Linked DNA regions of Nothobranchius furzeri. The protein of the gene in region 1 binds, or shares a complex with, the protein of each later gene. Links are inferred from orthologs where the notes say so. Each region holds a gene or a part of one and is shown in the gene's direction. Other genes may lie near its edges.

Region 1 (8,438 bases):
ATCAGTTAATCTGGGTCCTTTAGAGCAGGAAACGTGTGGAACTTGCAGGATGGTACCCCTCAAGGAAAAAAGTTGCTGACCCTTGATCTGCATCATCTAAGCATCTATGTGGAACACAGTTTAAACTAGTTAATGCTTTTCTTTTTAGAAATAAGTAAGTTGGTAAAGACTTGCATGTTTGTATTAGCTGGAAGTATGTCCTTTCTAAATTTAAGTTGTAACAAACATCCTGGATAGTTTTAAAGATATGATTTGTCACCTTTGTTCTATAAATGAAAATGTGTTTGAACCGATGTTAACACACAGTCCGCGCTAATGCGTATTTGTTACTAGAGCTACAAACATTTCAGCACTTATGACCTCTAAATACCAAGTTGCCAGGGAACATAACTTAAGCCATAAAACAGTTGGGAAATGACATCTAGTTAAGCTACACCATGTGTAAACCCAATCTTGGTGAACAAACTTCATTTGCGTGTACATGACCGTGCAACAGCTTTTTATACTAGTGTTTTGTACCACAGATAGAACTTCAGTAATCTCGCACTAAATAATAAACAGCAGACATTTAAAAATGCAGTTATATACAATTACAATGTTTGTCAGAGATCCTATAAAATAAATTCTCCCAGTTTCTTGTACCCGACACTGTTGTTCCACAGTGTTATTGTCCTTACTACACCTTCATCACTTTATACACTCCTTAGTTGTGACTTAAGAGAACAGTAGATCTAAATAAATGGGTTTGGGGTTTATACAGGAATAAAACTACAGTCCATGTTTGAACAGTTTTAATCATCTAAGTGAGGAGCTGGAATTTGATTCTGGCTAAAGTGCTGGAACCCGATATAAACTGAACCTAAAAAAAATTGTCATTGATCGGCATTAAGGTTTGTGTACTAAAGTGATTTGTTTGAATACAAGTGGGGAAAAAAACTGTTTTAACTCCTTAAATGACTGTAGCTTGTAGAGGCCATAATTAGTAGAGGAGGGCAGGCATTTTAAACTGTAAACTTAATATAGCTTTATTCTAATCGGACGTCTTAATCTTGTGTTTTTCTAGTGGCACCACCACCCGTCAGTTTGTTGGACACACAAAGGATGTTTTGAGTGTGGCTTTCTCTGCTGATAACCGTCAGATTGTATCTGGCTCCCGAGACAAGACCATCAAGCTGTGGAACACTCTTGGAGTCTGCAAGTACACCATTCAGGTGAGCTGTCACTTAATGCTGCTGCTGCTGCTGCTTAGAGCTGTTCCTTCTTTGGTTTTCATTTAGTTTTTGTTCAAGCTTTTTTTTTTTTTTTTAACTAGTTTTACATTTTCTGAGGTAGAGCACACAGCTCAGCCATCAGCTGGAGCATTGTGGACTAAATCTGTATGATGGTTTTAAGTGTGTAGTGTGTCAGGATCATGGAATAAGTCTCGGTGGTTACATGAGCTAAAGTGAGCCATTGTTGGGATGAGCTGAACTTTAAACTGTTCAAACTTGATTTTGCAGGATGAAGGCCATTCTGAGTGGGTGTCTTGTGTTCGCTTCTCCCCCAACAGCAGCAACCCCATCATTGTCTCCTGTGGCTGGGACAAGGTGGTCAAGGTATGGTTTACTAGTAATTTGCTAATGTTTGGTCCTGGTTAGATGGTTTAACTTAGTTTGCATTTATTAGCTGACTACTTGCGTAAGACAACCTTTTTTATGATTAGCTTCCATGTTGGATGTTGATGTTTGTTCTGTCTCGGGTGTGATGCCTCTCAGGTGTGGAACCTGGCCAACTGCAAGCTGAAGACCAACCACATTGGTCACACTGGCTATTTGAACACAGTGACCGTCTCCCCTGATGGCTCTCTGTGTGCATCTGGTGGAAAGGTAACATCTGCTTCCAGTAATTGTAGATTTCTGTAAAATGTTCTTTTTTAGAATCTTTAAGTGAACGGACAAGTTTTTGCAATGATGGAAAATTAATCATACATCTGTTTTAAAATGATGACAATAGAGGCTGTTTCTGAGCACGACTTGAACTTGTCACGATCCCCGTTTGTGGGGTTGGGTATCGTGTTAAGAGCTGCGATGTAATCACTGAAGAATGTTTTCTGTTGGTGTTCAGGATGGCCAGGCCATGCTGTGGGACCTGAATGAAGGCAAGCACCTGTACACCCTGGATAGTGGTGACACCATCAACGCCCTTTGTTTCAGCCCCAACCGTTATTGGCTCTGTGCCGCCACCGGCCCCAGCATCAAGATCTGGGTAAGATGTTAAGCTAAACATGTTATCAAGGAGGACTGTGATGAAATTTAAAATGTTAGCTGTATTGTTTGATGATATCAGAGGCTGTTTCTGAGCTCCGACCCAATAGAGAATGTCAATAAATTCAGGTATGTTACTTATTACCTTGGTTAGAGATACCATCACTCTGGTTCTCTTTTACCTCATTCAGGATCTGGAGGGCAAGATCATTGTGGATGAACTGAAACAGGAAGTGATCAGCACGAACAGCAAGGCAGAACCGCCACAGTGTACTTCCCTGGCGTGGTCTGCTGATGGACAGGTACGACACTCTCTGGAGGACCTTTAAATGCAGATTTCTGTTGTGACCCCTGTGATTATACCCATTCACTTTTAACTCTGATTAATTCTGCTGACAGTCCTGCAAATATGAGGGGCACCAGAGAACCACTCACATGATTGAGCCTTTTTGAAAAGCGTGCTATTATGGATGCTAACTTCTGTTCCTCTTTTACTCAACAGACCTTGTTTGCTGGCTACACTGACAACCTGATCAGAGTGTGGCAGGTCACCATTGGAACACGATAAGAACAGCCTTGCTAATGCAGCTTTGAATAAAGAGACTCTTTGAAAATAAAATGTTTTGATCTTGTATTTAATTTTGACTGTTAAATTGTTTTTTATCAAAAGGGAACATCGATCACATCGATTTAAAAAAATCTGCTGAAACAATGATCAACAGTAACGTGAAAAAATGATTGAAAAATTAGGGAAAACTAAGTTTCTGTATTTATTTATTTTACTTATTTTGCCTTTATTTAACCAGGTTGGTCCCATTGAGATACAAGATCTCTTTTGCAAGGGAGACCTGGCCAAGACGGACAGAGCAGCAGCACAAGTTACAAAATTAATACATTCACATTTAAATACATTTCCACATAAACTCAATTAAAACAAACACACTGATGGTCTGGATTCCAGTGACCTAATCAGTCAAATCCACTCAAGGAAACCAAATCCTTGATTTTTAGATCTTTTTGTAGTGAATTCCATGTTGATGGAGCAGCAAAGCTAAAAGCCGACTTTCCCAGCTCTGCGAACCTTAGGAACAACAAATTGCAAAAGTTCACTTGAGCGGAGATTGAACTGATTCTGCTGTGAGGATGGAAACATCCCTATCAGCTTGGACCAGTTTTTATTAAGTGAAATGGGATTTAAAGTCTGAAACATTTCTATTTTTTAACACTGTTCAAATAACTGCTTGTACATTAAATCTTGGCTGCTAATCTGAAATGGAATACAGAATTAAAATTACACAAAAAAAAAACCATGGGACAACCGGTCATTAAAATTTTGATTTAACTGGTGGTTTTCTAAATCTGGGGCTTGTAATTTGGAAAGTTCAACTGACGTTTGCAATTCGCATGGATTGTCCTACTTCAGACGCCGTAATTGTATCCTAGCAACTAGTCGACAGAACGAGCCCAGAGTGCTGCTCCAGGTTGGAGTTCCTTGTTTAGTTTACTGCTACATAGTCAAGTTTTGCGTGAGCCGTATTTCGTGGCCATTTAGCGTTCAGATGAAGATGGATCGTAAAAGGCCATATCACCGTGTCATCGTAGAGAAAACGCTGGCCGTCATTAAGCCAGACGCGTTTCAGCTGGCAGATGAGATTGAGAATGTTATCGTCAAATCTGGCTTCAGTATACTTCAGGTGAGTGGAAGTCACCTACTTTCTAGAGGCGCGTTTTCAATATTTGTGGAAGGAAGATATTTTTATTAAAATAGATTTATTTAGATGCCCGATAAACGCTGATTTCCATTGATCATCCTACGATCTGGTTTCAAATATTACGCTTCATGGCTTCAAAAGGTGACCGCTTTTTGAGGCCGTGTGGCTCTTACGTAGTTTTTTCAGTAGAGGGCAGTAACGGGCTGTAATTTTACTGGAAACCCTATTAAGACACCTTTTAAACGTTTAAAGGTGAATGTCTGCATGGTGTTTCTGTACATCTTTTTTCTTTCTTTTTTTTTTTTTTTTTTTTTTTTTTACTAATTGCACTTCAAAGATACTTATTGCTGTTAACTGAAACATGTCAACCATTTGATCTAGGAATGTGTGGATGTTAAATACTACAGATTACTTATATTTTTTGACTGAAATTTCACATTCACTCTTGACCATGACCTGTCAGTAATTTGCATAGACAAGTTAGTGGAAGACCTAAAACAGTGAACTGTAATGTGTGCAGCTACACACCAAATAATATACATGGGGGTGGAAGACACCCTCCTCTACCTGCAGCACTGGGTATATGTCGATGGTGCTGGCTCACCTCAAAATGCAAAAAAGCAATCTCAAGTGCTTTTAACACCATACAGCCGTGTCTACTGCAGCAGAAGATGAGGGGTGCAGGAGTGGTTGAACATCTGACTGCATGGACCATCAACTATCACCAACTGGCTACAGTACGTGAGGCTGCACAACTATATGTCTGATGTGTTTGTGTGCAGTACTGGAGCTCCACAGGGTATGGTGCTCTCACCCTTTCTATTCACCTTCTATACCTTGGACTTCAGCTACAAAACCAGCAACTGTCACCTCCAGAAGTTCTCAGATGACTCAACCACTGTCGGCTGTGTGTCTGAGGGGAATGACCTGGAGTACAGGTCAGTCACAATGGACTTTGTGGACCGGTGTGAATGTAACCACCTTCGTTGGGGTGCAGGCAGCTCTGACCAAGACTGGAAGCTCGCTTCTGGGCTGCCAACTAGTTTCAGTTGAGGAGACATGTGAATGGAGGATGGTGGGCAAAAGGACCTCCCATTTTGGAAAACCCCTCCCACCTATTGCATTCCACTGTGGAGGCCATGGACAGCTCCTTCAGAGGCAGACTGAGACATTCAAGATGTAAAACAGAAAGCTGCTGTAGGTTATTCATCCCCTCAGCAGTAAGAGTGTAAAACTCCTGAGATCAACTGGTACTGGCATTATCCTGTTACACAATAACATCTGTGCAATATTTAGTATGAGTTCAATACTTGTGCAATACCTGATGTACATCAGCATGTCTGTGTCCCTTGTGCTGCATAGTTCTGGAATCCAAGTTTTTCTTTTTTTATTTGTGGTTTTTAGTTGTTGAAGCTAACAATAATACCTTTGTGTATTTACCTGTGATCTTCTTCTTCTTCCTTTTCTAAGCATATGCGCCGCTGCTGTAGAAAGTTAATTTCCCCATAGTGGGATTAATAAAGTGTATTCTATTCTAAAACATTGTTACAGTTTACAATTGAAATTACTGCTCCCCTTGGTTCTATTTTTGTCAGATATTGCAGTACTGTACAGAACTGCTTTAGACAGATTCATGAAAAGTTGAAGTATAATGTCTGTGAGAGCTTCACAGTGTCACTTGTCCATTTAAACAAATCTGAGCTGTCTGAACTAGCTTAATATTTTTGAAGTTATATTCTATTTTCCACCACAGTGGTTCACTCACTCCACTGCTCTGTTTTCTGTGGCAGAAGAGAAGGCTGCAGCTGAGTCCAGAGCAATGCCACGACTTCTACGCAGACCAGACACTCATGTTCCCCAGTTTGACGGCCTTCATGAGCTCTGGTCCCATTGTTGCCTTGATGCTGGCTCGTGACAATGCTATCGCCCACTGGAAGTCCCTTATAGGGCCTGCCAATGCTACCAAAGCCAGAGAAACCCACCCAGAATGGTAAATCGCAGATATTTCTGCCAGTAGAAAAAAAGCATTTATGTAGTAAAATCAATGTTTGTCTTTTTACAAAGACTCAGGATTTAAATGTCCTCTTGAGGCAGGTTTCTACTTACATCCCAATTTATTAAGACATACCGACAATTTTTGCATACCGTTTCCCCTGATATATTTCTTTTGTACCTACAAAACCCACTGCCATTTTTCCGAATATTATGTGCTCACCTTGAGTTCATTTGTGAATGTGCTACTGGTCTGAGCTGTAAATCTTTAGTTTCTATTCTGCCTTTAGCCTCAGAGCAAAATATGGAACGTCTGAGCTGAAAAATGCCCTCCACGGCAGCGACTCGTGTGACGAAGCTGAGAGGGAGATCAAATTCATGTTCCCAAACTGTATGTTCCTCTCTCACCCATGCGATTATTCTTAAAGGTAATTACTATTGACTGTGATCTATCCCTTATCCTCTCTTTCTGTAGCTATAGCTGAACATGTTCCTTCAAGATGTGAAACAGAAGAATACATGAACCAGTATGTAAATCCAGCCCTGCTGAAGGGACTCACTGAACTCTGCAAGGAAAAGCCTCTGAACCCCTGTGTAAGGACTGATGCTCAGTGTGAGGAAAGATATTAAATATTATTCATCTGCTGTTGAAGGGGTTATTGTTAACATGTTGATTTCTGTCCTGCATATTTGTATTCAACAGATCTGGCTAGCTGACTGGCTTCTGAAAAACAATCCAAACCAGCCTCAGATATGCGACAAGGACACTGTGGAAGACTGATGGAGAAACAAGGAGGGAAGTCGGTTCAGTGGTTTTGCTTTTGACAAACTCTTCAGTCTGTTGGTGTACAATAATAAACAGGATTTTCAGCAGTTGACATGTTTTATTTTTCTGTTATATAATAATTATCTCAGGCCTTATTCTCCAATGAGTTCATCTTGCATCATTGATTAAATCAGTGAAAAATGTCCCATCAAATAATTGAATGCAAGAGGTTACGTGGTTAAAACAGACACCATGTTCGTTAAACACTGTTTTGGCCATTTTATTCATCAAAACAGATTGTGCTGCTGCTCTGGAGTAAACCCCACCGGAGTCTGAGTGAAAAGCAATAATTGTGGGTCAAAGCTGACAGTTTGTAGGATTTATTTTTTTGATCGACAGCGTGGCTATCTCCACCGAATACACAAGTTTTAGCAGCTGAAAAAAGGTTCATCGAGTTCCTTCCTGTGTTCTGAAGGCGTGAACGACTTGGACGAAAGAGACATTGACGCATTGTGATTGGGTGATGCTGCGATTGACAGCTTGCCTTAACCAATCACGTTGCCTCTTGGCAGAACTGTCTCCCCCACCCTACCGGTGCTGAAAAACCAACCACGAGTTGGCGTCGTGTGGGAGAATCCATCTTGAAGAGAGCTCTCTGGTTGTGCGACCAGTAAGTACTGTTATATTTTTATAGCTTGATCGTGTTTTAGAAGACTGACGCTTAGACAGTCCGGTATTGTGTTGCCCCTCCATATTTGTTCAGGTCAACGTTGAACAAATGTGTTAACCGCGTCACGAGGCCACATTTCGTGCCGTTACGGCCTCTTGTCTGTAGCTTACGTAACTGCGAATTTTAGTTGCATAGTCCAGCCTTGGTTTATCTGTGTGACACAGAGGGCAACAGCGTTGCTAATCGCTGCCCTTCAGCAGAAGTGTACGATAGATTGCGTCTAGTTAACGGGTTTTGTGAGGAAGCGGCCAAGTACTGCTACGTGCGTACGCGGCTTCGCCGGCCAAAATGGTGGGGTACGCACGCAGTGGCACCACGTCAGTGGCGAGGCTTTGTGGAAACACCGGCGCTTATTGTGCAAAAAACTAGGTAATTCTTCTGTGTGGTTTTAGGTGCATTAGTGAAAAATGTCTGAGGCGGAGCAACAGTACATGGAAACATCGGAGAACGGCCATGAAGTCGACGATGATTTTAACGGAGCCGGCCACACTGACGAGGGGGACGATGGCGGCGCCGAGCTTGACTGCGGACAAGGTGCGGGGACTGACTCGCAAAATGGAGGCTCCGATGGCGGCCAAATCGACGCCAGCAAAGGTGAAGAAGATGCCGGGTGAGTTTTGCACGTCTTAAGTTGTGTTTGTATGAAGTGGGCAACAATAAAACGTGATCTTGTTTTACAAATGTCTCTTTGTTCAGCCGGCCTTTTGTTGGCGCCATGTGCAGAGTGGAGGGGGATGGGCGTTTCGGAGGGAATGGCATCCAACAGCACTGACTTATCTGCAGAATCCACACATAAATGGGCATTTTACTCGTTTATAACGTCATAGATTTTTCTAATCATATTTATGAAGTAGCTCAAGGCTATAACACCATAAGGTGCCCCCTCCCCCACGCGCCACTAGGTCAACAGATGTGTTGGGAACACTGTGTACATCATGTATACTGACGCCCCCTCCGCTTCTGCACCCTTCCCCTCTGCCACCCTGTATGACTAA
Region 2 (8,372 bases), on another chromosome or scaffold:
ATGGCTTTATTAGAGCGGTAATGTGGCACTAATATTTTGGCCATGTTTTTATATTACGCTAACCTTTAAAGGACTGCACAATACAAGATAAACATGAAACCGTTATGGGCCGTTTCTCAATACCCACGTGCATTGTTAGCAAGTTCAGCAGAAAGTCCATTGTACCGAGTACGAGGACGGCGTTTGGACCAGAGCAGTACTTTGCTGCTTTAAGCTACGGTTAAAAATAGAGGACCAGAAATAGAATTAAAAGGCAATGCTGTTTGTTTTTTAAATAGCGGGTTAGCTAGTTGACGTTTTGCGGTATTGCGAAGAGTCTCAAATAAGATACAGCAAAATGTACAAGCTACACAGAATCATATAAAGTAAAGGACAACTTTATATTTATTAAGACTCAATTATTCCTAAACATTCTCTTCTGCCATTGTCCATTCCGGTTTGTGATGCAATGCATTATGGGATACCTTGCTGGCTCAAGTCTGCTGAAAGGAGCGTTTATGTGTCCTCGATATAATGGGCTACGTTATAATACATCCAGGAACTTTGGGCATACTTGCCATGATATGTACTTAGGAATGGAGGAGTACTTGGGCCAACGTCGAAGTACTCTGTACACATTCAGACAAGTACACACATTGAGAAACGACCTTAGTTTCTGTAAATATTTAGAAATATCAGTCACTTTATTTGCCTTTGATGTTACGGGTGTCTGTTTTGGCATCTCGACCACCAGCTGACATTTGGGCTGTGGTGTACGGTGATGTTAGAACTCTTTGCCTCTTTACAAATGTGTCGGATCAATAAACAAATTTTAATATCAAAGACATTAAGATTAAGTAGAAATAAACAGTTTTCAAATAATGATTTTATGTATCAAGGGAGCAAAAGTCCCCAAAACGACCTGTTATTTGAAAAATTCTAACGTTTGGGCCGAAATGCGTCTTGGAGGATACACCGGACCGGTCCTCGCGTCGGGGAAAAGACGGATTTGTGGGCTGCATTTGAAGGAGTTGTTGAATTTGGACAGCTTTTATTACGATGCAGTGACGTACATAATCGGCCTTCAAAGGGTGTAGCCCCTGAGTTTGGACCCACCCACCATAAAGTAGGCTAAAAGAGCTCAAAAAGCAAAAGAACTCTGAACAATAACTCAAACCCTGCAGGGGTAAGAGAGAAACTGCCTGGACCACCACCAGAAAATTCTGAAGGAGAAAGTCTGACCTTTGACCTTAAACAGGCCATTTCAGGCTGGAAAACCCCTCAAATGTGGCTGAAATAAAACAAGTATCTAAATACGCTAAATCATCATTTTAAAACTACATTTGGCCTTAACCTGGGTTAGCTTTTTCTGATACGAAAATGTGTTTGCTGAGCTTAAACATTTAAATGTGACCAAAAAAAAAAAAGGGCAAATACTCAATATTTCCCATTCTTGTACTGCAGGCCAACTTTTCCTCTGATAATATTGTCATGACTAATAGCATAGCAAAGTAGCAATCATCTGCTTAGTTATTTATTCCTAAATCATTTAAAATCCAGTTTTGTTTTGTTTTTTTGACCTTCCTTGTTTATTTCCTTTTTCTAGGTTTCGGTAGCAGTAGCAACTCTGGCTTTTACTTCAGCAACCCCGGCATCAACCAGTCCGCTGGCCTGACCTTTGGGGTGTCCAACCAACCGGCTGCCGGCTTCGGCACAGGAACGCCCTTTCTCCAGCTGAAAAAGCCCCCTGCTGGGAATAAAAGGGGCAAGAGATAGAAACGGGAAGAGGAACATGTGTTTGAGCTTGTAGCAGATGAAGGTCTGATCTCTCTCAAAAAAAAAAAAAAAGACAGAAGTGGTAAAATTATAGAACAGATCAAACGTGATGGTGAGAATGTCAGGGATGTGAGAGGAACGATTATGAAATAAAATCATGTCAAACCACGACTATTTGAAGTTACTGTGAGCTCGTTCAACAGAGACAAGATTGAGCCATCGTTAGCAGTTTTCACTGGCTAAACTTTTGTTTTAGATTTGAGTTCATTCTTTCTGGGAGTGCCGGTTAAAACAAGTTTAGGTGAAATAAAAAGTATTTTGCTGACATTCCCAAATCTCTAATTGGTCGTGTTGCGTCACAGAGCTGCGGTAAAGTGCTTTTAAACGATGCACACGTTTCTGTTCAGAGGAGAGTAATAAGGGTAAAGGGAAGAAACTTCTGGAATATTGTTTGAAAACAGCATGTCTTATCCCATCCTAGGTGGGTTTTGGGGGGAAGCACAGCTTTATATTTTTGTAGAAAGATATTCAGGACAAGTTCAAGAGGACTAATGTCTGGATTGTGTCATGTCCATGTTGTTTCTGTCCAGGTTTGTCATCTTTAATGGTTTCTTTGTGCACCAAACCTGGGATAGATGACATTTATATGTTGATTCTGCCCTCAAGCGCATTCTGCCTGCTCATGTGATACGTGTTCGAACAGATTTGCACTATTTAGTGTATGAAAGTTAACGGTGGTCATGTGTATAATGTGCCTGTAGTTTGGTCATCGTGCTTTTTCTTAGCATTGGGTGAGGTTTAGGTTTTCTTTTTTTAACTGTCCGTGTCACTTTGGTTACCAGATACTCGTAGTTGTTCTGTTGTTTTCCAACCAGTCTGCGGCTTTCTGTGTTTTCAGGATGCTGTTTAGTAATAAAACCTCTTGCCTGTTTATGGTGCAGTTTATTGTACCAGATTATTAAATGTATGTGCTGGTAAAAATAGTTCTGTTGTATTTTTCCATTTTCAAATTATCACGTTTTGTGGAGAAGTATTTTTATTACAAATGTTTAATAAAACGACTCCTCTATCCCAGTAGGAAGAAGATGTGGAGGACATTTCATTCATTTTCTGAAAAAGTTAGAATTTTAGTAAAAGATATATTTTTTCGTAACTAAAATATAATTAAGGTCCATGTTAATGGAAATATTTTATATTTTTGAGATTTTGGCTTACTTCTTGAATGTTTAGAGATCTAAAGACCTGAACCATAGTCGTGGATATGTAGGTGTCTCATAGGGCGATGGAGAGCGTAACAGCGTCGCTGCCCTATTGAGTGGGTTCCTTACTCTTCAAATACAACAGGGTGAGCAACTATGCTTGTTTTTTGTGCAGCCTATAGTTGCAACAACCGGTGCTCCATTGAAAATAGATCACATGGGATAAATTTTCTAGCCTACCTTTTCGGATTTAATATTTTATTTTATTTGTATTTAACTATCATACCTTCCCACATGTCTGATTTAGCAAAAAATGTATTTTTTTTAGTTCGGTAAGCATTCCTCAGTAGAAATAAATGCACTGGGGGTGACTGGAGACCTCTCCAAGATGGCGGCCAGCCACTACGACAGCGCGACCCCACGTCGCGCTTATTTGTGTGTCCTGAACAGCAGGGGGCGATAGCGGTTTGGTGACGCACGCATTTTTATCTCAGAAGTAGAAAGTTGTTGCTATGCGACGAGGAGCCTGTGAAGCTAACGAGCTTTATCCGTTTTTAATTCGCTCCTCATCCTTTATTTTAGGACGTATTTTCGGTAAAAAGTTACTTTTCAGAGTCGTCTTCTTTCGGATCAGGTGATGTTATGATGCGTTGACACAAATACATTTATTTAGTTAAATGTTACATGTCTGCTTGGAGTTGTAGCAATGGATCAACAAACATCACCTATATTCGTTATAGTTAAACATTATAAACAGCCATAAATTGTTCTAAAACAAAAAATTGTGAGGATTTCTTTAAGTAGCCTTTTGTAAAGCCTGTTTGTGAGTTTGTTAGGGAAATCATTTTTTTAAATTCTCAGCTATTTAACCAGAATCGGTTACCATTGTCATAAAAATTGAAAAAAATGTTGGTAAATAAAATAAATCCAGGGAACTTTAACCTAGTTGCAAAAGAATTACAGTTAGTAAAGTTTATTTGTAAAGTGCCTTTCAGGGTAAAAATAAAAAAATGAGGCAAGAATTTATACAGAAATGCAGGAAAAGAAAAATAGTGGATTTCCTCCGTTATCTAATCAACTTTATTGTTCTGTACACTAACAGGACTGAATTGCAGCCATGCCACTTCCAGATGTTCTCTATTGTTCCCAGCAAATCAGGATCCCCCCCGAGCTGCCAGACATCCTCAAAAACTTCACCAGAGCAGCCATTCGGACACAACCCAAAGATGTGCTCGTATGGAGTGCAGCGTGAGTCCCTATTTGTATTATTTTTGGGTTTGGGTCAGGCTTGGATCATTATATAATTGTGTTATAACATATTTTCTTTAATTAATGTGAATAAAAACATGTCTCAATGCAAATATAATAACACAAAGAAGCACCTTTCACTTTTTTCGTGTCTGTTGACAGCAAAAGCTTTCCTGTTGGCTACACTAACTCCCCTTAACAAGATAAATAAATGAATGCACTAATTAAAAAGAAAAGGGTCATCTCAACTCCTCTGTGGCTGTGTGTTCTCCAGGTATTTCCATGCGCTGGCTGATGGAGACACTCTCCCTGTTAAAGAGAGGCTGGAGATGAATGTTGCCACCCAGAAGACAGATACTGGCCTGACTCCAGGTCTGCTGAAGATCCTCCACAAGCAGGTGAGCAGGATTTATAAGCAGAGGCATCATAGCTCCTACAGATTTTATTCAAAACATTTCAAATAGAACAGAAGAGAAAATAGTTAATTTAATGCAGAAATTGTGTTTAATCTCCACATTTATTCATACATTTAGTTGTGCATGTCTGATATTTAGTGTCTGCATTATTTTCCTACTATATTTAGCGTTTTTTGGCCTATTTGGTGAAGAACTACATAATAAAACTTCCTTAAAGGCAAATGACTTCTCTCGTTTTTCAGAGAATGAACAAACATGTTGAGTTTTTGGCCACAAACTCTCCCCTGACTGCTATAATGGCATTGACATAGATATTATTTCACCTTCAGCTCTCCAATTCCCTCTTTTTCCTCCTCATCGCAGCTGTCCCCAAAGGAAACATGCAGCAAAGAGGAACTCGAGAGGACATGGAAAGGCTTGTGTCTTCCTGTGGAACAGCTGGAGAGCATGCTGTCGTTGGGCAGCTTTGAGTCAGAAATCACCTGGATGGAGTTTTTTGCTCTGGGCTGCAGCGCTTTAGGAGCGGTGAGGTGTTACAAATGGCTAAATATAAATCCTGAAGGTTGAGAACAGCTGGAGAACCGTAGCAGGAAAACACGTGTGTCCATCAGTCAGCCAGAGCAGAAAATCCAGGTGTTTTTGGTCCCCCAGACTCCAGAAAGACTAATAAACCTCAGTGAACATTCATTCCTATAAATGCCCTTCATCCACACGGGGGCAGTGTTGGTCCACACTTGCAGCATTTTTCTAATCAGAGCATGTGCATGCATAATGATGCTGCTTGTGTCTCTTTATTGCTGAATGCAAAGCTTTTTAAGAAAGAACGTGTCTCCTTGTCTTTAACATGAAGAATCCTGCATCTGCTTCTCTAATGCATCCCCCCAGAACCTCCAGAGTTCCCTGAAGTTCGCCTGTGAGATCCTGACAAACGACGAGGAAGGTGGAGCTGCCAGGATCCCCTTCGACACTTTTGTTCAGATTTACACCTACTTGGCTCACCTAGACGGGGTCGTTTCACAGAGCCACATCCAGACCTTTCTCAAGAGTCTGCAACCACAAGTGTGAGTGTGTGTGTGTGTGTGTGTGTGTGTGTGTTGTCTCAAAATTAATTTGCACATCAATATCTGAAGTAGTGATGTTCAGAATTGTAATATTTTGTTACATTTGACTGATGCGCTGGTGTTTGTGTCTAACACAAACAGGCTAGCAACAGGAAGAGGTCACATAGCGCTGTAGAAAAGGACAGAAAGAAAAAAAACTGATCAGTCACTAAATGTTCTTTAAAGGGGCATCATGGAAGTTTGACAGCCAAAACATGTATAGAAATAATAAATGTCTTCTTCAGACATTCTCCTGCAATGCCCTGGTCCTGTAGAATGAGCCCTGGCATTTTTACTGATTGCCTGTTTTTCTGTAAAATCACAGAAAAAGAGAGCTGCTCGGGTCGAGCAGGCTGCTTCATGCGCGTTCACGCTCAGGCATAGCCCGTAGCATTTGCTATCACTAGCTTTAGCAGCAGAGAGTGAGGTAGTGCCAACTCAGCGACATTGTCGCTGTTCCTAACGCCTAGTGATGAACCTAGCTACATTTCTGAGGACCCTTAGCTACTTTTTTCTAGATATTTCCTGCAAATTAGCAACAAAATAGCCATTTTTGCTCCCAACCGTTCTTTGGTTTGACGTTGTTTCAGCTGTCATCAAGGATATAAAACTTACAGATACTGTGAATGTTACTAGAGTGCAGCTCACCTTTTAAGATGTCTGACTCCCACGCAGAAGATCTGGGTTTGATTCTGGGTGTGAACATAGTTTATTTAGAGTTTCTTTTTTACATTAATGATATTTTTTTTTTTTACAGTAAGATGCCCAAATTTTTATTTGACACTCGCCGAACGGCACTGAATTCACAGATAAAAAAGATGTGGGCTCAACTTTCATTTTGGAACAATTTTTCAAGCAAGGTAAGGGAATGATCTGAGCATGCAGGAGGACTGACCCATCTTAAACCTTTGTCGGCTGTGCTGAAGAGAAAGGTACGGAACCAAATTATTTAATTAATTAGCTGCGCGTTCTCCTGTCCTCTGTCCTCCGGGCCACACACACACACACACACACACACACACACACAGACACACACACACACACACACACACACACACACACACACACGGGACTGTCTCAGCTGTTATTTTCGTTGAGTGTGCACGTACAGCATGCGGTCCTCATGCACGGGCCTACTATTGAAGCTGCCGTTACACTTTTGGCCTGAGGGGGCAATCGCGAGAATAAAAATTCTAAAAAAAAGTCCGTAAAGTTCCTTTTAAAGACCAAGTTCACTTCAAAACTGTTTGTACTTGTTTTTGAAATAAGATCAGTCACTCTGAATTACACGTGCATGCTAAATGTGACAACAGTCTTCAGCCCCTGTTTCCTGTATTAGCCGCTGATGGAGAAACTCTCAGGTCAGGAAAAGCCACACAGATCTTCGTCAAACTGTAAATTAGCTTTCATCCAGTCACCCATCTTGGCTCATGATGGGGAGGGCTGTGTTCATTTTTTTCTGCCAGGAGAGAGCAGAGAGCATCTCGGCTAGCAGAAGCTAACTGTTAGCATTAGCAACTCCACCACACGGCAGCACTATTCAGGTTTGTGTTATTTTTTGGACAGGGGTGGACTGGGACCAAAATTTGGCCCTGGCATTTTTATGAACCGTCGGCCCTCGGCAGGGGACGTTGCTGCTCGCGACTCGTCTATCCCGCCAAATGTGGGGGGAGGGACGGGGTGTTGTGTGTGCTGCTCGCGGACTTGTCTCTATAACCGCATGTGAGACGGGGGCTTGGTTTGGGACGGCCCAAGCTGGGCAAGTGGCCCACTTGGTTAAGCGGCCCACCGGGACAGTGCCAGAATGCCAGATAGGCCAGTCCACTCCTGTTTGTGGAGATAAAACATCAGAGGCAGTGGAAGAGTCATGTTGCTGTTATCCAATCAAAGGCAAGATGTCTGCCATTTCTCATACACACAGCCTATCAGCTTTCAGCATTACCACGTTTGGGCCCTCTGCTGATGCATTACTTCTTCTCAGTAGATTAAAAAAGAGGAGATTTACAGCAGTTAACCTCTGAGGCTGATTTTCAGCTCGGAGTGTGAGAGTGTGTTTCATTCACTCTTCATTTCATGGACTGGCTCTGTCAGATGGTTTTATCACAGCAGCCGGAAAGCACTAACAGTAAAAACATGTTACAGGGACAGCTTCGCATGTCAGGAGCACACACACACACACACACACACACACACACACACACACACACACACACACACACACACACACACACACACGAAGAATAGCCAATCGCAGCTGTGACCAACTCTAAGAGACCATAACCTGGCTCCACCCACGTGACACTGCACTGAAGGAATCTTGTCAGGACTGAAAGCAGTGATGTTCAGGATCAAACTCAGGTTTTAGTTATCTGAATGTGAGCAAACAGGACTTAAAACATTCCCGGATCTGTTTTCCTTTGTGAAAAAAAAAAAAGCCTGATTGCTACTGGCAACAGAGACGCTGTAACTGGGATCCTAAGTCATCCTAAAGTCAGGGTCTCTGCTGGTTTCAGGAAGGCTAATCAGGACTGTTTAAGGGCACTTTGATTAAAATTGAAGACCTTAAATTCTCTGAATGAAAAAGGGATGTGACCAGTTTTATAAGTAGTTGTGTCCTTTATTGAAACTGAAAGTGCTGCTGAGAAATAACTCAA
Region 3 (8,226 bases), on another chromosome or scaffold:
CTCTCCTGCACACTCCCACGCGTGCACAAAGATGTGCTTTAAACCTCTGCTTCTGTGAGATGCATGAGATTAGTTTTTCAAACTCTCTCCCACCTGAACGTGATTTGTTTGGGCCAACTTTAAATTACCGTTGTTCTGACGGGTCAGAGTTTGCAAACCCAAGCCCAGCACTCTGCTGATTACCACGGTAACAGTGCGTGTGTTGCTAGGAAATCTGCATGTGGTTTCATTTGATGCATTTCTTTGGGAGGATTAGCATGTTTCTGTAGCCCAACAAGGATCCATCAGTCATTTAAAATATTTTTTCCCGCTGAGTAGCTCAACCTCGTTTTCCCAAGGCTCTCATACAAAGCATGTCTCCAACGCCAGCTGTTTTTCTAGTTGTCGACTTTGGACAAAGCTCTGATGAGATGTCTTGTGTGCAAGCTTTATTTGAACGTATGCTTTATCATGAACAGGGCTCACACACAGCACACAAGCATGTTTTATTGTTTTTTTAATCATATTTTTTTTAAATATTTCTGACAGAATTATTTTTTATTTTTTTACCTGCAGCTGTTTCGCCGTGTGGCAGCTGCCCTTCCTGGGATGGACACCACACAGGACAAGAGCAGAGAGGACAGTATCCTTTTGCATATCTTTGTCTGACATGATGGGGAGGTCATGTCATATCAAATCATTCTAATATTTTCTGCCATGGGGAAAGTCTAACGTAGCATTATGACATCTGCTTTAGTCATTTAACCCTCATAACACTTTAGATCTGTTCACCCAAAAGCACATGTGATCCAGCTGAGGAATTTTTATTTAGTCAACTGTATTATTTCCTGCTATTTCAGCTGTTAACATTGCAGCCTCCATGCGTTAAAACATCCAATTTGTGCAAATCAACATTTGAAACTGGAGCTATTTCAGTTGTTGAAGTAATTGTACCAACCCTGCTTATGGGTCACCTCAGAGATGGCTTGCCGATGTGAATATTTATTTATTTGTCCATTTATTTTTTTAACGAGAACAAGAGATTAAATAATTACAAAAAGCAAATGAGGACCATCAGAATTGGCTGAGCTCTAAATCTACTGCAACTTTTGAGTTTTACTATTTAATATTAAACTATTCAAGAAGATGTTTCCAGCCAGTGAACGGGGACATTACAGCATGGAAAGCAACAGAGTTGCAAAAGTGCAACAAAAAAAACCGTTGCGCATGTGGTTCTCAAAAATGTTGACAAGGTTGGCAGATCTGCCAATGGACGTGTGTGACTTCTGTGACTCTGACACCTAGTGGTTTCATTAAGGTTCAGTTTTGATGTTTGATTCACGTTATTGTCTTTAACTCTCAACTCTCTCAGTGATCGACATCAAGTTGGAGAAACCGCTCGAGCAGTCCGCCAGCGAAGGAGGCTGTTCCTGCTAATGGACTCATCTTAGTTTGGGGCTTTTTCTGAGACCCGGTCCGTTTCTCTGTATATACCCTCCACTACACCTGCCTCAGTTCCCCAGCCTAACAACACTAAAGCCGTCTCATCGGGATGCTCTGAAAGCCACATATCACTACAATTTGACATTTGCACTGTAACAAAACCATACTCACACCTGCCACCTCTGTTCACCTCAGGTGAAGATAGTTGCTCTGTGTTATTTGGTCTTGAAAATCTTTGCCTCCCTTTTTACCCAAGCAGTTAAATACTAAAAATTTCTGCATTGTGCTTTTTTCTTTTATGATGGCAAAAAACACAAATATTCCTTTAAGTTTAATTAGCAGAGTGGGTGTTGTAGAATTTGTCAACTAACATCATTTTAACTAATTCCAGTTGAAACAGACTGACAAGAATTATTTTATTTTAACTTCTGAAATAAATAAAAATAATAATAATCTGAGGCTCATTTAAGTTAATCAACATGTTCCGAATAGAGACGTACAGCAGTACTGAGATGCTTTTTATTAAAATGGGCTAGTGGACACTGAATCTACTACACACCTGAGTGTGTGGCCATACTACAAACTGTCCTGCACATCCTCTGAAATGTTTCTTTAAAACTAGTTTTTGTTGCTTTTTACACCTTTTTTATTTAGTTTTCTGTTCTTAATTGGAGCATTGTGCTGATATTTCCCCCTAAAGAGTACAGCTACAGTACCAGACTACAGCTTCTTTTTTTTTACTGCTGGTGTCTAAGGATTATCTCTTCTAACCCGCCATGAACATCACTGATGAGAAGTAAACCCGCAGAGGGCTTCCTTGTCTTTACTTTTCAAACCATTTATGAAAACAAACTTTCTGAGCTTTGTTTTATTCTGCTTGTTTTTACTTGTTGATCTTTTGTCAGTGATAAGTCAGCACACATATTTAATCCACAATGACTTGAAGTATTTATTTCTATTGAATTCATGCATCTTTTTTATGGCTGTTAATATTGCCTCTTCATGGTAATGATTTCCAAATCTACTAAGATATGCATTCACCTTCTGGACACCTTTTACGTCGTCGGTGAGGGTCTGCTGTTTGTCACTTTGAAGCGGGAGTTCGATCACGTTGATGATATTGTGCAATTTTTCTGTGTGAACTTATGGAGGAGAGTCCAATACGTATAGCATAGTAGTCCTAACGTTTCTGTCTGGAATGGTTTTAATTGAAAGAATAAATAGATATACTCTTGTTTCCACTGCTGGAGTTGATCTGTGTCATGTGAAAAGGTGTTGCAACAGATTTTGTGTGAATTATGAGAAACATTCATAAACCTTTTCAATAATTAAATGTGTTTTTGAACTTTGGGGGGGGGGGGGGGGGGGCTTTTCAAAGCCGGTCAGTTTAATAATATTGTGATTAATTTAGCTAATAAATAGAAATAATTTGTCAAAGCTAAGCTATATGTATGATAACCTAAATAGGCTTGTGAGTTATGTTTACGACCAGAACACTTTTTTTTATTCTCGCGAGAGTTTCCCGAGATGTCACCATAGAAACTCAAACGCGCTGAACCCTAAACTGGTTAACACAGCTAGCTGGCATTTATACTCACAATGATTAACGGCTATTACGATACGCTTGAAATAAACAGAAACGCAACAGATGCAGAAATCAAACAAGCGTAAGTTTGACTATAAAATGTTTTATTTTTGCGGGTTTGTTACTTTGTTCATCATGTTTAATATTAATCTTCAGATATCGACGTCTCGCGCCGAAGTTTCATCCCAGCAGGAACAGCCAACCCGGAAGTGTTGAGAGATTCGCCCAGCTGGGTGAAGCCTACGATGTTCTTAGCGACGGTAGTGTGACTCGGGTTGTTTGTTTTTGTAACAAAATGCTGAAAATAACTAACGAACACGTCTTATGTAGACTATAGTAACAAGCTCGTGGGAAATGCGTAACATGCTCTACACAGATCCAATATTTATTTCAATCAGGATAAATCAAGAATATTTTCATAATATTTACACAACATACAACAATATCCCGCTTTGTCTTTGTGAAAGCTCGAAAGAAGGCGATTTATGATCATTTTGGTGAAGAGGGTCTAAAAGACGGTGCCCCGGCTGAGTTTTGCACAGATGGAGCTTGGACTCCAAAATATGCCTACCACGGGAATCCAGAACAAACATTCAGACAGTTTTTTGGAGGAGATAACCCATTTGCAGGTGAGAAAAAATACTAACCACTGTGCCTTTTCTAACCCAGACTTGCATTTATAAAGTTTTTCTTTTTCTTTTAGATTTTCTTACCATCGAATCGCCGCTTCAGCTCTGTGGCTTGCATCCAGAAGTGGTGAAAGTTCAAGATTCTCCGATAGAGAGAGATATTTTCTTGTCACTAGATGATTTGTACCTCGGATGCATAAAAAAGATCCAGCTCTCCCGCATGGTAGAAGCTACTTTATTTATCAGAGACCATGATTTTAATCTGCCTGAAGTCCATGTGGTTAAATCACTAATACATCCTAGACTGAGTACTTATCTTGTCCATTGATGTGAAGCGGTTAAGACTAAAATACACAACATGTCACAAAGCAAATAAAACTTCACATAACAAATGGAACCATACAAAATACAATTTCCGGTGAGTTTTTTGCTGCTGTTTTCTGAAATTTAGATCTTTATGTTTTGTTCTGTTGATGTATTTGGGGCCTCAGACCAGCCACAGATTACTTGGGCATGGAACTAGGCAACACAATCCCACAAATAACAAAAAAAAAAAATCTATTTATTATGTTGAATTTGTAAACATTACACACTGCATTCCAGGTTATAAATGAAGATGGACAATCTTCTGAAATCCAGGAAAAGATTCTGACTATAGAAGTGAAACGTGGATGGAAAGAAGGCACAAGAATCATATTCCCCAAAGAAGGAGATCAGGTGGGAAAAAAGTGAAAAATTAACATTTTTTTAAATGATTGAAAATTAGCTGTGAAATGAATGCCAGAAAATTTAAATGGATGTTTCTAATTTCAGTTAACCTTCCTGTTTCACCCTTGATAAATACATTTTTATTTTGTTTTTGTCATTTGCTGTTTTTCATAGATTTCCATATTAAAAACCAACGACTATTTCAGCATTTTAACAAAAATAAATTTGCTCTATTCCTTCCCATTAATAATAAATCATTTTCACTTGTTGGCTTCAGCAGAACATCGCTGACTCATGTCAGAACATCCAGATGCTTTTAGCTTCATTAGATCTAATGACATTAAACGCCAACTCTGTATTTAATCTGTGTAACCAGGTAACTGGTCATCCCGGTGATATGTGGGTGGTGTTTTAGTATTTCTCACGGTAGGAATGGCCCTTGAATGTGTCTCAGCTCAATCTCAGCCACTCCTTGATGGGCTGATTATAAAAAGGTGTGCAGACCAGGGGGTCTGTTAGGGAGGTGGTTGTCATGGTTGTCATGCTGCTGTGAGATTTTGGCTGGTTTGAAGGGTTTTGCTTTAGTCACAGGTAGGTGGAGGGTGGCTACTAGAGTCTCTCTGTGGGCCTTGTTTTCTGATTGTTAGCTTGTCATTGCTGCTCAATTGAGTTCATTTTTATCTACGTTCAGGTACAAGCTGTTTTTAAGAAGTCCGAACAGAAATAAATAAAGGCCCTGTTTTTCTCTACCTCTGCCTTGGTTCCTTATTATAACCAGACCCGCCTGGGGTTCTGGTTGTGGGTGTCTAAGCCTTACGCTCGGTCACATCTGTATTCTAATTGTGTTTTTACCATCAGGGACTTAACCGTGTTCCGGCAGACATCGTGTTCACCGTGAGACAAAAGAGTCATCCTCTTTTTGTACGACGAAACAATGACCTTATCTACAAAACCCAGATCTCTCTGATGATGGTGAGTCATGGTGATGTTTTATAATTGATTTTTATTACATAAAGGCAATAAACACTGGAGCTGGAAGGCGATTTCCTTTCCAACAGGCTCTAACCGGCTTTTCTGTGAATGTGCCGACACTAGATGGCAGGCTGCTCAACATTCCCATCAATGACATTGTACAGTAAGTTGGGAATTCCAAGCTCCAGTCATTAACTAAAAAAGTACTCTATTAATTAAACATGTTGATTACATCAGAAGCTGGACACTCGAGAGATTTGGAGGACAATTTTTGAACAGTTTTTATTTTTTTTTTTGCATTGTTTACCCTAACTTTTCACTTTCTTTGGTGTCACAACATTCCAGCCCTACATATGAGAAAGTGGTGGCTGGAGAAGGAATGCCGTTGCCCCAGGATCCGTCGCAGAGAGGAAACCTCGTCCTTACTTTTGACACTCAGTTTCCAAAGATGCTCTCTGCTGAAAGAAGACATCTGATCCAAAAAGTTCTTGGCACCACACATGACTAAAGTTTTATTTACGTCTAAAAAAGTGACAACATTTGTTAAATGAAGACTAAATATAAAGAGAATGCTGACAAGGCAGTTGTGCTGTTGTTGATTATAATGCAGCGGTGTGGTTGTGACTTGCAGCCATGACGGCTCGTTTCAGCTGCTCATAAGTTACGAACATCACCACGTTCCAGGAGCCCAGCCGAAAGAAAGATGGCATGAAGCTAAAAGACAAAACAGAGCAGATGTAGATTTAGTTGTGCAAACGGCCAAAGACTCGTCTGAATTATCTCTCTCAAAGATTTTAACATTCTTCTGTTATTGCGCTACCCCTTATAAAAGGCCAGTGGGCCTTCTTTTGCCATCATGGCGGCAGCACAGTTGAGGACGCTGCTGTACTGTTTAGGAGCCGAGTTCATAAATCTTGTCTTGACCACGTCAACGGGAGAGGCAACCATGGTTGTACACAAACCAGCGCCGAAGGCTGACACAAAGTGGCAAGGGAGGTTGTCTGTGGGGTACAGGCTGAAGGTTACGTCCAGGACTCAAACACGTCTGTGTCGTGTTGGGTCTACGACTTACCTGTGAGAGGCGTCGACTTGAGAAGTAGATCCTTAATGAAGTCGTACGTGACCAGTTCTGTGCAGTTAACGATGGCATTGCGGGCGATGTTCGGCATTGTACCTGGGTGGAAGAGGTGTATGATTGCAAAAAAACTATTTTCATGGATGAAGAAAAGAGACTTCAGGTTTTTGGAGTAATTCACCTTTCCACAGACCAGGAATGCCCTCCTCCCTACCAATGGTTCTGTAAGCATCAATAGTGCCATGGTAGTGTCTAGCATGCTTGCCAGACATGGCCTGTGCTTGAAATCGGACTTTCACTACATCTGTGGGCTGAGCAAACACAACAGCCATGGCGCCTGTGGTGCATCCTGCAAGCAGCCGACTGCCAGTGCCAACATCTGAGCGTCAAAGAGAGAGAGATGCCGAATTTAATGCAAAGTTCCACAAATGGATTTTTTTTATAGCATCGACTTACGATCACAGCCTTTAGTGTAGAACTGTTTGACAGAGTCATAGAGACCTATTCGGACAGAAGCAAAGCTCATCTGCCTCTGGAGTCCTGCCACCAGTCCGCTGTAAAGACTCAGGAGTCCCTCTGTTCTCACCATGGTGGTGATGGTGCCGAAAACGCCACGGTACTTCACTGCAGCCACTTTCCCCAATGCTGATGGCGCGCTGGCCTCTCCTTGGATCTTTGTAACATATAAAAGAAACTCAGTTTAAAAAAAAAACAATTAGATCATTGATGAGTCACAAAAATGTTCTTCATAAGAGGAGGTGAAGCTATGCTTTTATTTACCTGCAGTCGTACTTTGGCAGTGTCCAGTGGAAAGGTGAGCAGGTCAGCAAAGCAGGCTGCAGCTCCAGCTCCTACAAACTTTACTGCTGCTGATGGAGGCACGTCTGCAGGTCCAAATCCAACCATTTCCAAACTTCTTTTGTTCAACAACAAACTTCCAGATATGGATTTTTTATATGGACAGGACTAGAAGTTCCTCCAAAACCTGAAATAAAGACCCAAACCATGACGTGCAAAGATTGTTGTATTTTGTGTGAAAATGTATTTTTATAAAGTTGACTCACGATAAATTAGTAGACTTATTTTGTTTATCTAAATGACATTTTTTACTCGTTGCTTTTAACTTCTGCTTTAATTGCAGCTTTAAGAAACACACATTCACACAAATAGAAAATGCAATTCTTACCTAAATAGATTTACAACTGGAACAAAGATGAGGATTCTCTGAAGGTGTCCCTTTGGCTGAACTTTGTCCCAGCTATAAACTTGGTTCCTTGCTTTTCCATAGAAGATCTTCCAGATGCGGTGAGCCCTAACATCATACTCCAAATCCTGGAAAACAAATACAAACCTCCAAAAATCTGTGTTTTGTGAAATGAAAAATCATTAAGGGAAAAAGTCTAGAAAGAGAAATACTTCAAATAATCTAGTATTACCGTAATTTGATTTGTTAGGATTAAAAACTGTTTGGAGGGGAAAATATCTGAACCGATCCCTGAATCTGGGGGTGAATGGAGAGAGGGCAGGAGGAAGAGAGCTGCCTCTTTAAATACGGCTGTGATGCTGTTGCATAACAGGATGTTGCTGTGGAGTCTCATGCCGGCTGCACTGCTGGTCAAACAGGAAGATATCTACTGAAATAAAAGCTGTAAAAGTGTTGATTATCTGATGCAGAGTTTGGAAAAATCTTTCTTTTTTTCTGACTTAAGTAAGAAAATTAGAATCTAAACACAAAACTTTTTCGTCTTGTGAAAATAAACTAAAACTGTAATTTTTCACCTTAAAGTTCTTTTATTAAGTTGGTCGTTTGTTATGAGCATCCATTGTGCATTATT

What was found.
Region 2: nme5 (region 1) and ropn1l share a complex: the UniProt entries of both Homo sapiens proteins name them as parts of the axonemal radial spoke complex. The link is inferred for Nothobranchius furzeri from reciprocal best matches to the Homo sapiens genes NME5 and ROPN1L.
Region 3: the proteins of nme5 (region 1) and dnajb13 are in contact, whole or in part, in a cryo-EM structure (PDB 8WZB), measured with the Mus musculus proteins. The link is inferred for Nothobranchius furzeri from reciprocal best matches to the Homo sapiens genes NME5 and DNAJB13. Residues at the interface, in NP_542368.2 of Mus musculus: Glu52, His53, Asn56, Met193, Lys199, Pro200, Lys201, Leu202, Cys203, His204, Phe205; in NP_705755.2 of Mus musculus: Thr156, Lys157, Lys158, Thr181, Ile182, Asp183, Arg185, Trp188, Arg189, Gly191, Thr192, Arg193, Ile194, Thr195, Phe196, Glu197, Pro281.

The regions. Positions count from the first base shown.
Region 1 is NC_091741.1:97,225,866-97,234,303, reverse strand, and holds nme5 (nucleoside diphosphate kinase homolog 5), read left to right. Parts: upstream 1-3,590; 5' UTR 3,591-3,802; coding exon 3,803-3,937; intron 3,938-5,745; coding exon 5,746-5,945; intron 5,946-6,237; coding exon 6,238-6,338; intron 6,339-6,422; coding exon 6,423-6,541; coding exon of another isoform or gene 6,542-6,560; intron 6,561-6,650; coding exon 6,651-6,728; 3' UTR 6,729-6,825; downstream 6,826-8,438. Other genes in the region: small ribosomal subunit protein RACK1, read left to right, coding at 1,064-1,211, 1,500-1,595, 1,755-1,865, 2,104-2,244, 2,435-2,545, 2,746-2,811; hnrnpaba (heterogeneous nuclear ribonucleoprotein A/Ba), read left to right, coding at 7,851-8,053. UniProt on the Homo sapiens protein: Functions as part of axonemal radial spoke complexes that play an important part in the motility of sperm and cilia. Does not seem to have nucleoside diphosphate kinase (NDPK) activity.
Region 2 is NC_091747.1:57,002,532-57,010,903, forward strand, and holds ropn1l (ropporin-1-like protein), read left to right. Parts: upstream 1-3,450; 5' UTR 3,451-3,588; intron 3,589-3,934; exon of another isoform or gene 3,935-4,056; 5' UTR 4,057-4,071; coding exon 4,072-4,202; intron 4,203-4,476; coding exon 4,477-4,600; intron 4,601-4,981; coding exon 4,982-5,143; intron 5,144-5,503; coding exon 5,504-5,679; intron 5,680-6,475; coding exon 6,476-6,590; 3' UTR 6,591-6,725; downstream 6,726-8,372. Other genes in the region: nup58 (nucleoporin p58/p45), read left to right, coding at 1,586-1,755. UniProt on the Homo sapiens protein: Functions as part of axonemal radial spoke complexes that play an important part in the motility of sperm and cilia. Important for male fertility.
Region 3 is NC_091750.1:48,860,863-48,869,088, forward strand, and holds dnajb13 (dnaJ homolog subfamily B member 13), read left to right. Parts: upstream 1-2,802; 5' UTR 2,803-3,021; coding exon 3,022-3,089; intron 3,090-3,163; coding exon 3,164-3,267; intron 3,268-3,474; coding exon 3,475-3,636; intron 3,637-3,710; coding exon 3,711-3,859; intron 3,860-4,239; coding exon 4,240-4,353; intron 4,354-5,202; coding exon 5,203-5,316; intron 5,317-5,402; coding exon 5,403-5,479; intron 5,480-5,584; exon of another isoform or gene 5,585-5,661; coding exon 5,662-5,824; 3' UTR 5,825-5,899; downstream 5,900-8,226. Other genes in the region: ras-related protein Rab-6A, read left to right, coding at 556-622, 1,352-1,416; dicarboxylate carrier UCP2, read right to left, coding at 5,916-6,030, 6,137-6,317, 6,389-6,490, 6,573-6,770, 6,848-7,064, 7,172-7,297. UniProt on the Homo sapiens protein: Functions as part of axonemal radial spoke complexes that play an important part in the motility of sperm and cilia.